3 linked regions of the Ovis aries genome follow. The protein of the gene in region 3 interacts with the protein of the main gene of each other region in a biochemical or structural test. Links are inferred from orthologs where the notes say so. Each region holds a gene or a part of one and is shown on either strand. Other genes may lie near its edges.

What was found.
Region 1: the proteins of UBE2A (region 3) and RAD18 form a complex in vitro, tested with the Homo sapiens proteins (12 studies listed by BioGRID, with this or other methods). The link is inferred for Ovis aries from reciprocal best matches to the Homo sapiens genes UBE2A and RAD18.
Region 2: the proteins of UBE2A (region 3) and RNF40 form a complex in vitro, tested with the Homo sapiens proteins (3 studies listed by BioGRID). The link is inferred for Ovis aries from reciprocal best matches to the Homo sapiens genes UBE2A and RNF40.

The regions. Positions count from the first base shown.
Region 1 is NC_056072.1:17,558,115-17,561,861, reverse strand, and holds the start of RAD18 (E3 ubiquitin-protein ligase RAD18), read right to left. Parts: upstream 2,564-3,747; 5' UTR 2,477-2,563; coding exon 2,426-2,476; intron 1-2,425. UniProt on the Homo sapiens protein: E3 ubiquitin-protein ligase involved in postreplication repair of UV-damaged DNA. Postreplication repair functions in gap-filling of a daughter strand on replication of damaged DNA.
Region 2 is NC_056077.1:27,399,543-27,403,289, reverse strand, and holds the start of RNF40 (E3 ubiquitin-protein ligase BRE1B), read right to left. Parts: upstream 2,772-3,747; 5' UTR 2,720-2,771; intron 2,612-2,719; 5' UTR 2,540-2,611; coding exon 2,408-2,539; intron 1,998-2,407; coding exon 1,830-1,997; intron 1,412-1,829; coding exon 1,270-1,411; intron 619-1,269; coding exon 412-618; intron 1-411. Other genes in the region: CFAP119 (cilia- and flagella-associated protein 119), read left to right, coding at 3,297-3,500.
Region 3 is NC_056080.1:114,920,169-114,923,915, reverse strand, and holds the start of UBE2A (ubiquitin-conjugating enzyme E2 A), read left to right. Parts: upstream 1-1,228; 5' UTR 1,229-1,368; coding exon 1,369-1,412; intron 1,413-1,533; coding exon 1,534-1,614; intron 1,615-1,977; coding exon 1,978-2,003; intron 2,004-3,747. UniProt on the Homo sapiens protein: E2 ubiquitin-conjugating enzyme that accepts ubiquitin from the ubiquitin-activating enzyme E1 and transfers it to a E3 ubiquitin-protein ligase. In vitro catalyzes 'Lys-11', as well as 'Lys-48'-linked polyubiquitination.

The sequences.
Region 1 (3,747 bases), on a different chromosome or scaffold from region 3:
TACAGAAAACAATATACCAGTAATTCCAAACACCAAAGTTTTTCCATGGATCCTCAGTTAGGAATTATGGATTTGGGGTCTGATTTCTATTCATTATAAGAAAGAACTCCAAATAGAGCTACTTCTGGAAACAGCTAATTCTTTGTCCCTGGAGAAGTTCAAGCAAACACCAGGAGAGAAATGGATGGACACACTGTAAAAGGAATTAGAATAGTGGGGGGTGGGGGAGGGCTGGCTTTCCAAACTTCAGATTCCATGATTCTAATATGGGCTCAGTCAGTTACACCACTGAACACTCTCTGGTACTGAATCCTACTCAGGCTGCTGTGCGACAGCCAACCCAGAGACATGGAACCTGCCACTAAAGGAAACTGTGGAAGTTTTGTGGGAATACATAAAACATGCTTAAATCTACAAAGCAGGCAGCTTTACAAGTTATAGAGCTTTCACTTCCCTTACTCAATTTATAATCTTTATGACAACAAATAAAAAGCAGGGGGAGAAATAACACATTATGTGTTGATAATAATAATAAAGATATATTAATTTAATGCTTACTACCTTCTAGATGGTCTTTCCAGATGGCTCAGTGGTAAAAGAATTCACCTGCCAATGTAGGAGACGCAGGCTCGATCCCTGGGTTGGGACAATCCCCTGGAGAAGGAAATAACAACCCACTCCAATATTCTTGCCTGGGAAATCCCATGGACAGAGGAGCCTGACTGGCTGTAGCTCATGGGGTCACAAAAGAGTCAGATACGAATTAGCGACTAAACAACAAGAAAACCTTCAGTCGATAAGCAAACAATTTTTGAGCGTCCACAATGTGCCAGGCATTGTGTTAGGCACCACGAATAAACCAAACAGGATCCCCATCCACATACATCAACTCATTTCACCAACTATATGAACTATTTCTGTCTCCAATTTATAGATGAAGAGATTCAGGCTCAGCGAAGTTAAGTAACTGAATCAAGGCCACACAGTTAAATAGGAGGCAGAAACTAATTTAACACAGAAGCACTGGAACTCAATATACGCTCTTCTCCACTGTACATTGGTGCCAAGGCCACCACAAACGCAGAACCACAGCTTTCCAAAATCCTTCCACGATGTCAGCTTTTCACTATGGGGAGATCTCAAGTCACCAGGCACTTCAGATGATACTGAGGACAGCAGATATTAACCTCTTCTAAGTCCCTTCACTTTATCCTCAAACTCATCTTATGAGTGAGTGGGGCAGATACCATAATTCCTAGTTAACAAAATGGAGCAACAGGAGAATGTGATCCTGCTCAGTCACACTGAAATAATCACAGAACAAGGAGAAAAACCAGGCAACTGATTCTTAGCTAGTACAGTACAGTGTATTCGCTCTCGATCAAACACTGTACGAATCCAGGACTCACTACTATTGTCCACGGAGCAAAAATGAATGTTATTTAATAGTAAAAGACTTCAATAAAATGAAAGGCTGGTCTAAGTGAGAATCCAGATTTGTTTGAGAGAGAAAGTGATGCACAAGAGTTAAGAGTTAGAACACAGTTAGGGAGGACTTAACGCAAATTAGCACTAGGCTTCTTGAGCGTAATTAAAAGAAATGAGACAGCAAAAGAGACACAGATGTATAGAACGGACTTTTAGACTCTGTGGGAGAGGGAGAGGGTGGGATGATTTGGGAGAATGGCACTGAAACATGTATACTATCAGGTAAGAAACGAATCGCCAGTCTATGTTCGATACAGGATACAGGATGCTTGGGGCTGGTGCACGGGGATGACCCAGAGAGATGATATGGGGTGGGAGGGGGGAGGGGGGTTCAGGATTGGGAACTCATGTACACCCGTGGCTGATTCATGTCAATGTATGGCAAAACCAATACAGTATTGTAAAGTAAAATAAAGTAAAAAAAAAAAAAAAAGAAAGAAAGAAAGAAATGAAAGAAAATGTAAAGGAGACACCTGCTTTGCTAGGTGATTAAATAAATGTTTCTTGATGCAAGATCCACCCAAACTCTGTCCGGTGTCACTGTGGGAGATTCTCCACTAAAGTACTGGGAGAGTTTACATAATGCTTGACACGCCATGAGCTCTAAGAAAAGATTAGAGCTCTGTTGTTAGATTAGAGCACTGTTGTTTCCACTGTTTGGAGTAATGTTTCTCTCAGGATCATTGTTGTTGTTGTGACTGAACCGCAGAGTATCCCGTTCCACACGACGGCCAATCTCGGCTCACCATCAGTGACCGAGGCCTGTTCCCGGCACTTGCCGGAGGAGGAAACAGGCCCAGCGTCACGCGATGGCAAGCAGCGGGGCAGGGCAGAGTACCCTGGCCCAGCTGGCCGCTGGCGCCCGGTTCTTTCCCCTCAAGGTGGGGCTAGCCTCCCGCGGTCGCCCAGACGGCCCCGACCTCCCCAAGGCACTCACCTTCATGACTGCCAGGGCCGGAGGCCACCGGGGCTCGACCAGGGAGTCCATGGTCTCCTCTAAAGAAACTGAGGGGGTCCGCTACCCGCTGGTCTCCTGCGCTCCTCAGCCACTCGAAATTCCCCGCGCTACCGGGCTACGTCATCAGTCCGCGACGCGCCCGACGCGTTTGCAGAGCATGCTGGGAGTTGCAGTACGTGGGCGGAGCGCAGCCCGCCCTTATTGCTCTTATTGCTCAAGCGCCAGGCTCCCGCAACGGCTCTGTGCGCACCTATGCGGTTAAAAAGCCCGCAGGCGGGTTTTGTAGTACACGCTTACTAAATGAATGCCTGTTGAATTTTAGAAAAAGACAGCCTAGAATCAAACCGCATCCAGGCCTTGTCAAACCTTTCCAAGTCTAGGCTCATGCCTCCTCATTTCGGTCGCCCTCTCTGATTGCCATAAAGATCTGTCCCTTCTCACTCCATCACAACATTGTGAGGTGAGTATTATCATTATTAGTTTACGCAGGAGAAAACTTCGGCTCAGAAAAAGTGAATAGAGTTTCTTTGAGTTACACAATGTCTTTGACCTGGCTACAAATAGAGCCTCTGGACTGAAAATAGGAGTTCTTTTCTCACATAGGATGGTTAACCTAATTTAACATCTTACCTTTGGAGCATAGCCTTCCAAATATTTCCTGTGCAGAAACACAGATACAGTGGGTTTTTTTGCCACAAATGTTATTATATTAAATGCACACCTCTGTCAACTTGAATTTTTGTTTGTTTACCTACAGACATCCTGAAATTTCTCCATGTTAATACATATAGATATACCTCATTCCTTTTGCTAGCTATGTAGTCCGTAATGCAGATGTACCACAATTTATTTACCTATGCCCATCTGACAACCATTTAAGTTGTTGCCAGTTTTTCATTATTACAAACAGTTGTAATGAACACATTATCTATATAAATCTTAGCATACCTGAGCCAGAATATCTGGGGATAATTTCCTGTAAATGGAACTACTGAGTCAACTTGTGTGCTCTTTTGACACTACAATAGCGAGCACCATATGACTTTCCGAAAAGGCTGAACCGATACATTTATACTCTCACCAAGTGAGTATGAGTGCTTGTTATCCAAACATGAAGCACTGACCAGCACATCACCCAGACTGTCTGCTCAACTCAGCACTCATGGATAGGCTGCCTGATGTGTGCCTCACACATGAGATCTCATGAGCAGCAAGTCAGCACGGTTATATTGCTCAGGAAGACCCCTGCGGCTTGCCACTGCCACCACATGTGGTCCATGCATCCATTCTTGCAATCATTT
Region 2 (3,747 bases), on a different chromosome or scaffold from region 3:
CTCATGACAAAGCCAGGAGTCTTTATCCCCACTGTACAAAGGAGGAAACCAGCTCAGAGAGGAGAGCCATCTGCCCAGGACACCCGGGCAGGACTGACAGAACTAAGGCTGGGCCCTTGATGCTATGCCTTAGATGGATCAGTAACTGCCACTAAGATTTGTGAAAAGTGCTCCCAAGAAGTCTCCAGCCCTAAGGGAGGAGGACCCCCTCCCCCAGTATCAAGAACTCCTTCCCCCATCTCTCTAGATCTCAACTCCAGAAATCACAGCCAGATCCCCCACTGACAGATTAACCCTTCTCCTGAGAACGTGGCTGATTTATCCCTTGGGGAACTGTGGCTGCCTCTGGGCTAGGAGCACTGAGGAGGGGATACCACGGGCACCTTGGGGGTGGGGGCATAAAGAACTAACCTCTGCTGTATACTCGCTGACAGAGTTCTTCCACCCGGCGCTGCAGGCGGTCAGAGGCCTCCACAACACGGGACACAGCTGCCTTGGAGAACTCCATGCGGCCCTGCAGCTGCAGCTCCACCTCCTCACTACTGCTTGCACCAAGGGCTACCACAAAAGCCAAGGCTGGCTCACTGAGAGGGGGCCGCAACTGCATTGGCAGGGGTTCTGGGAGGGACGGACAGACCCTCGTGAGGACAACAGCAACAGTCACCACTGCTCTGTACCAAGTTCCAGACTGAACCCTTCAGCACTCTACAGCTTACTAAAGCAACACAACCAACACCTGCAGGACTGTGTGATCCCCATCTCAAAAGTGAAATAACGGAAGTTCAGGGAGGCAATGTCCCTAAGGCCAGAGAGCTACCACATCACTTCCTCGGGGAAGCCTTCTCTGCCTTCCCCTATCTAAACTAAAGTGCACACACACTAACTCCCTTTCAGCTTCCCCCCCCCCCCCCCCCCCCCACTTCTTTCTTGTGGTTTTAATCACTTCCTTCGCTAATGGTTGGGGCAGTAAGTTATCTCTTTTTGGTTATTTTTGTCTCCTCCAAATCTACAACAATGCCAAATACACAGTCAACATTTAATACTTTTTCGAACTATAGGTGTCAAGATGTGAATTGCACTCTTAACCATATCACTCAAATTTCAAAGCCTGTGTTCTTACCCACTGCCCTTTGTGGCCTAGATATGAAATCAATTGTGTGTGTTAGCAGGCAGGGAATTCAGCAGCCTAATAATATCAAAGTCCCCTCCTCTCCAGGACCTTTCCCAGACCTTAATTAAGCTTCCCAGATCCTAGGGCTCTGGCCCTACCCCTCAGTTCCGAAGTCCCTGGCTCTGTGAGAGGGGTCTCATCACGTGTCGGCCCCTCCTGGGTCCCAGGTGCCTCTGTCCCTGAAGACAGCTCCCCCTGGCTCTCATGGTGTCGGAGAAGGGCTTCCACAGTTTCATCCAGCTGAAGGGAGAAAGCACCAAAAATGTTATGAATCCCTCAGGTGCTTCCCAGCCTGATAGTCCTTTCCTAGTAGCTGCTGCTGCTGCTAAGTCGCTTCAGTCGTATCCGACTCTGTGCGACCCCATAGACGGGAGCCCACCAGGCTCCTCCCTCCCTGAGATTCTCCAGGCAAGAACAGTGGAGTGGGTTGCCATGTCCTTCTCCAATACATGAAAGTGAAGAGTAAAAGTGAAGTCGCTCAGTCGTGTGGACTCTTAGCGACCCCATGGACTGCAGCCTATCAGGCTCCTCCACCCATGGGATTTTCCAGGCAAGAGTACTGGAGTGGGTCGCCATTGCCTTCTCCATTCCTAGTAGAGGGGTCTGAGGATTGGCAGCTGGATCAAGGCCAGGTCTTCGAAAGAAGAGCGGCATCCACCTGGGCCCAGTAGCGATTGACAATGAGGAGGGTGGCGTCATCTGTGGCCTGCCGCTTCTCCAGCTTCTCAATTCGTTCTCGGAGTTCGTCTTCACATGCCTGTCTCTGTTCCAGCCGCTCTGCAAGTTTCTTGTTCTTGAACTGCAGAACCTTGAGGTCCATCTCCTCCTACCAAGGAAATAAAGGGGCCAAGAAGAGGGTCAAGCAGGGCCCAAGGACCCAATCACAAAGACAAGAAAAGCAAATGCAACGGACAGGAGTGGAGAGCTTCCCCAGATGAACTGCCATTAGGATTTAACGAAGCTCAGTCACCCACAGAGAAAGCGTCTCGATTGTGAGGCGGATCATGTTCTGCTTCTGCCTCTTCCTACTGAAGTTTTTGACAAACCACACGCCCTGTGGGAACCCGTTTTCTTATCTGTAAAGGGAAGGCTGACGTTGTGTCCTCGGTTTCCTTCAGCAGAGTGTTCTGTAAAGTGGATCTTGCTAAGCTTGGGGAATTGGGAGTTAAGTTCAGGACGACGTGGAGGGAAAACAGATGAGAGTTCTAGCAAGTTTTGAGGCAGGAACCCACGAACCGTGGAAGAGATGCCTCCCAGGCGAATGGGCTCTATGAGCGTGGTGGTGGTCTTCTCCTCGCGGCTCAACTTCTTCTCCGGGGGCCCCGAACCCCCATCCCCAGCGGCGCGTTTGTTGCCGGGTCCAGACATGGCCGCGGCAGCAAAGAGAGGAGCAGGGTCTCCCGAGGGACGTCAGGCAGGTGGAGGCTGCACTCCTATCACCTGCAGAAGACAGAGCGCAAAGATGTGGAGGCGGCCAGAGCTCCGCAATCACGCAACTCCCCCTCACCTACCAGAGGGTCCCCGCCCCGCCGGCCCTAAGCCCCTCACCGGCAGCAGGATCAGCCCACGGGCGCCATCTTGGACTCCACCGGACGTCACTAGCCTCCCCAGCACAGAGCGCAGGCGCCAGGGGCAGTCCCGGATGTGGCGAAATAGTCTTAATTTCCTGTTTCTATTGGTCTCGTTTTGTCCCGCCTCTCGGGTCTGTTTGGGTTTCCTTCCGAACCCTCTTCTCTCCGGGATTGGCCAGTAAACAGTTCCCATGGTAACCGATAACACAGGTTTACTTTCCAGTCCTAAAGACAACGCCTGCCCCAGATTAGCAACTTTGAAAGGAGGCTATGAGGGCGGGGCTTGCATCTTATTACGCTCGCGCACTCTCTTCTCACTGATTGGAGAGAGCCATACACTTTTCCCCGGCTCCAGGAATTCCCTTAGCAACGGTCACCGTTGAGACCAGGGAGACGCCGCCAGCGGATTGGCTGCCCCGGGCATCTCTGCATCGCAAATTGGCTGGAGCGTCGATAGAGGGCCAGGCCTTGGCAGTGGCTGCCTGAGAACCGGCTGTCCCAGAACCGAGACAAGACAGATTCTGTGGTGACCCCCAGCACAAAAGAGCGACAAGATGATCTGCCGGAAGTCCAGCCAACTCCAGGGACTAAAAATGCAGTCGGAGCTTGTACAGCACTACGAACTGCGGCGAGAACCCGAAAAAGACTTCAGCTCATTGGATGAATCGGCCACGCGTATGGGAACAGGTGTGCGGACCGAATCCGGGACCGTGGCTTCGGTGGATGTCGATATCGATCCTGCAGCCAACTTGTTCCCGGTGAGGACGGGACAGTGATCTGATCATGGATGTTTAAAGAGGGTTCCCCGTCTGGGCGCCACCCGACGTTATGTTTACTAAAGTTTAAGAAGTTTCCCCGGGCTGCTTTGGTGAGGAGGTAGAGGTGTGTGACCCCGCTTGTTAATATGCTCATGAATAGTACTTAGGGATCGCTGAAGCCCAGCCCGCCAGCATTGCTCCTATCTAGTCCTCAAGATGAGAAGGCAACTTAGCACGTTCTTAGGCC
Region 3 (3,747 bases):
CTCTCTTGTCCCCACGTTCTGTTGGCAAGTCCTGTCTGTTTTTATTGTCATTGCCTGGTTCACTACCTCTCACCTGGAATACTTCAAGAGTCTTCTAATTGCTGTCCTGGGACCCGTCTCCAGTGAGTACAGCTCTGATCATGTTGCCTTTCTGCTCAACCAACTTCCAAGGAAGCCATCAGCTTGGCATTCAAAACTCTCCCTGAGTGAACCTAGACCTACTTTTCTCATATTTCCAAAAAATTCTTAAATGAGTATTTTGCCTACCTTCTATGTTATTTGGAGTTGACCTTTTTAAAAAACATTCTTTAAAACTGTTATTGCTTTTGCAGGTCCACATACTAACTGTGACTCTTCCCTGCAACCTACAGCTTTTTCACGTGCATCTTACCGTTCCTTTTACTTCAGACTCACTGCTCTTCCAATTCTCTGCAATCGGATATTCTCATACCCTTGGACTCTTCTGAACATATAGTAGCCACTTGGCTTGTTGAACTGTCAAGGGGAAATGTGGTTCCAGAGCCAAATTGTGAGTGCCCAAAGCTAAAGCCTCATTCTGCTTGCCTCCAGCTCTCATTCCCTCCCCCAGGACACACATCACCATTTCATTCTGCTTTGGGGGTGATCATCGGCCTAAATGTTGGGGCCCGCACATTCATCCCATAGAGAAGGGACCCTCGACCTCACCATCGAGGTCGATTTACTCTTTGGATGTTCAGTGATTTTGACCAGTCACACAGCTTCCTCCCCAGTTTCCCGTGTCCGTAGGAGGTGTACCCCCTAGATTTCTGGCTTTAGGAGAACTGGTTTCGCCTTCATCCACTCTGTCCTCATTGAGATTGAGACTTCATCCTTCTCCCCCTCAGCCACTGTGCGCACTTTAATAAGTGATCTGATCTCAAAAAAAAAAAAAAAAAAGAAGAAGAAGAAAAAGGAAAAGTAGAAAAAAAGCTTCCCACGGTTCGTCTTAGAATTGGCAAGTGAAGGTGGACCGATTCCACCACCCGATCCTATTGAGTTCCCGGCAATTACATGAGGCCCGCAGCTTGCTTCTCACCCTCGCTCCCCCCGTCCCTCAGGGGTTTAATGACCTAAGCAACTTTCCTCCCCCCCCCCACCCCTGTCCCGTCTTGGTACGGTCTGTCCGGCGTTTGGCGTTCCACCCCCGTCGTTTCCTTCCAGGTTGGTTCAGCCCCGGTCTACTCTGGGGTGGTGCTAAGCCGGCGCCAGATCGACCCTCGACTTAGGAGAGGCAGTGCGGTTCCTCTAGGCGGTTCTCCGTTGGTTCCTCCGGCTTCCTCAGCCTCCTCACCACCCGCGGGGACCCGAGAGCTCGGTGTATGCCCCACCCCTGACCCCGCTAGAGACATGTCCACCCCGGCTCGGCGGCGTCTCATGAGGGACTTCAAGAGGTAACCCGCCCGGGACTCTAGGGGCCGGGGGCTGCCGCCGGGGTACAGGGCGGGGCCGGCAGCGGGCCGGGCGGGCGGCGGGTTCAGGATAGCGGGAGGTTCCTGTGGTGTTTCCCTGTAGGTTACAGGAGGATCCTCCTGCCGGAGTCAGCGGGGCTCCGTCCGAGAACAACATCATGGTTTGGAACGCGGTCATTTTTGGGTGAGTCTGCGTTCCGGATGGTGGTGAGGGCCGGGGGACCCGTGTGCCCTCTGGGACCCACCCGGTGCGGAGGCGGGGACTGAGAGAGAAGGTTTGGGGCTCGTTGGGCCTAGGCGCCTCCCCGGAGCCTGTGCCTCGATTAGCTCGGTTCGCGCTGCCAGGGGAACCGTTTGGGGTTCGGAGGGGGGCGGGGCGGGGAGCGGTGGCGCTTCGGCCTGCCTGGGGTTTCTGAGCCCCAAAGCTCTATTGGTCGTGGCTTTGCAACCCGGGAAGCGGTGGTTTACCAGAGGTGGGGCGAACAGATGAACCGGGGAGAGAGGAGCCCCTGATGTGGGAACTGACTTGTTTCTCTCTGTGTTGTAGGCCTGAAGGGACCCCGTTTGAGGATGGTAAGAGAGTTTCTTTACCCACCTTTTGGGACCCTGATCTTCTGGGGAAAGTGTTTCCCAGTCAGCCTGGAAGTGCCTCCTACTTAATAACCCGCTTCTCCCTAGCCTTTGCCTGCTAAAGACTTGAGAGGAGTCCAGTCTGTGGCAGGTTGTTCTGGCTATTGTCCGCTTGACTAGAACTGCTGCTTAAAAAAATCTGAGTAAGGCAGTCACTTTTTAAAAGGAGCATAATACCACTGATGTTAAGGGTTTGTGAGGTTTGGGTTGTGATCTTGCTAAATTCAGGACCACCACCCCCTCCATCAGGATCAACCCAACCACTTGCTGATCAACTCGGAGACCCCAGGGACTGTCTGGTTCAGAATTCTGTCACAAGGGTGGGAACTGTGTTCAGCAGGTGCCTCATGTGTGGTGTTGGATGTTGAATGGATGCAGGAATCCCTTGCACACAACTGTCTGGTTTCTATAATCTGACATTGAGTGCTTTTCAGCCTCACTGCTTTAAAGTGGTCTTTAATGGCACCTTCAATAGCCAGTTCCTTGTTTCTTATTTTTAAATGAGTTTTCAGCGTGTGCTTTTATCAAGACTTTATGATCAGTAATCTCAAGGCAGTTTCACAATTGAGGGGAGCCTTAAAGTACTCTCTTACCAGTGTCCAACCTACTTCAAGATACTACACGTACTTACAGGTACATGATTTTTAGGTTTAGGTTTGACTTTTAAAAACACACTAAGTTGCTTTTTAAGGACTTTTTAAAGCTTCTTGTTTTGATATAATTATAGATTTGTGTGGAATTGTAATAAATAATAATACAGAGAGACCTTGTGTACCCTTCACCTGTTCCCCCCTCTCCCCTGGTAACATCTGGAATGACTGTGCACAACCAGGAAATTGACATAGATATAGTTTTATGTGCACTCAAATGTGTGTGTATGTGTGTGTATAGTTAATTGCTTTTGAAAGCTTAATGCATTTAAAAAGATGATTAAAAGTATTTGAACTACTGATTGACATCTTTAATATTTGAGGTATTTTTAAACAGAAAAGGGTCTTTCTGTTATTTATTTTCTTCTCAATGCCTTATATTCCTTTGGTCATATAGCCTTTGAGAGAAATCTGCACACATATGCACACACATATGCATACACCTCCATTTGAAGGTGGCAACAAAAGCATTTCTACAAACTACTCAGTACAAGCAAAGTTGCCAAGTCAGATTGCCTTTGGATGTTACCAACCACAGCATGTTGTGAGGTAAATGAATACAAACCAATTCTAGGATTCGTCTCAAACACTCAGATTTCCCTAGCAGATTGTAAACAGTAATCTAGGTGGTTTGTTTCTTCTCTGCCTTCACCTCCTGGGTAAATATCACTGTTCTTCAGTGCTTTGATAAAAAGAAATGACAGCAAGGGAGTATGATCCTGAAGGCATACTACTTTGGTGTGTGAGGTAAATCATTTGAACTGATTCTGATCCATAGCAGAAGCTAGCTAGGCTTAGTTTTCCTCCATTAGATCGGTTGCTGGTTCTTCATACTTAAGCTTTATGTGCAGATTAGCTGTGTATTTGCTTTAGCTCCAGCAAAGCAAATTATTTTCATTGGCTTCTTTTTTCCTCCTGATTTTTATTCGGACTGCTTTATGCTGGGCGCAACTTTATTAATAGTACATCGCTTTGCTAGGGGTTGGCAACTTAAATATTTCAAGGGTGCTTCTCTCGCTTTAAGTGGTATGAATTGG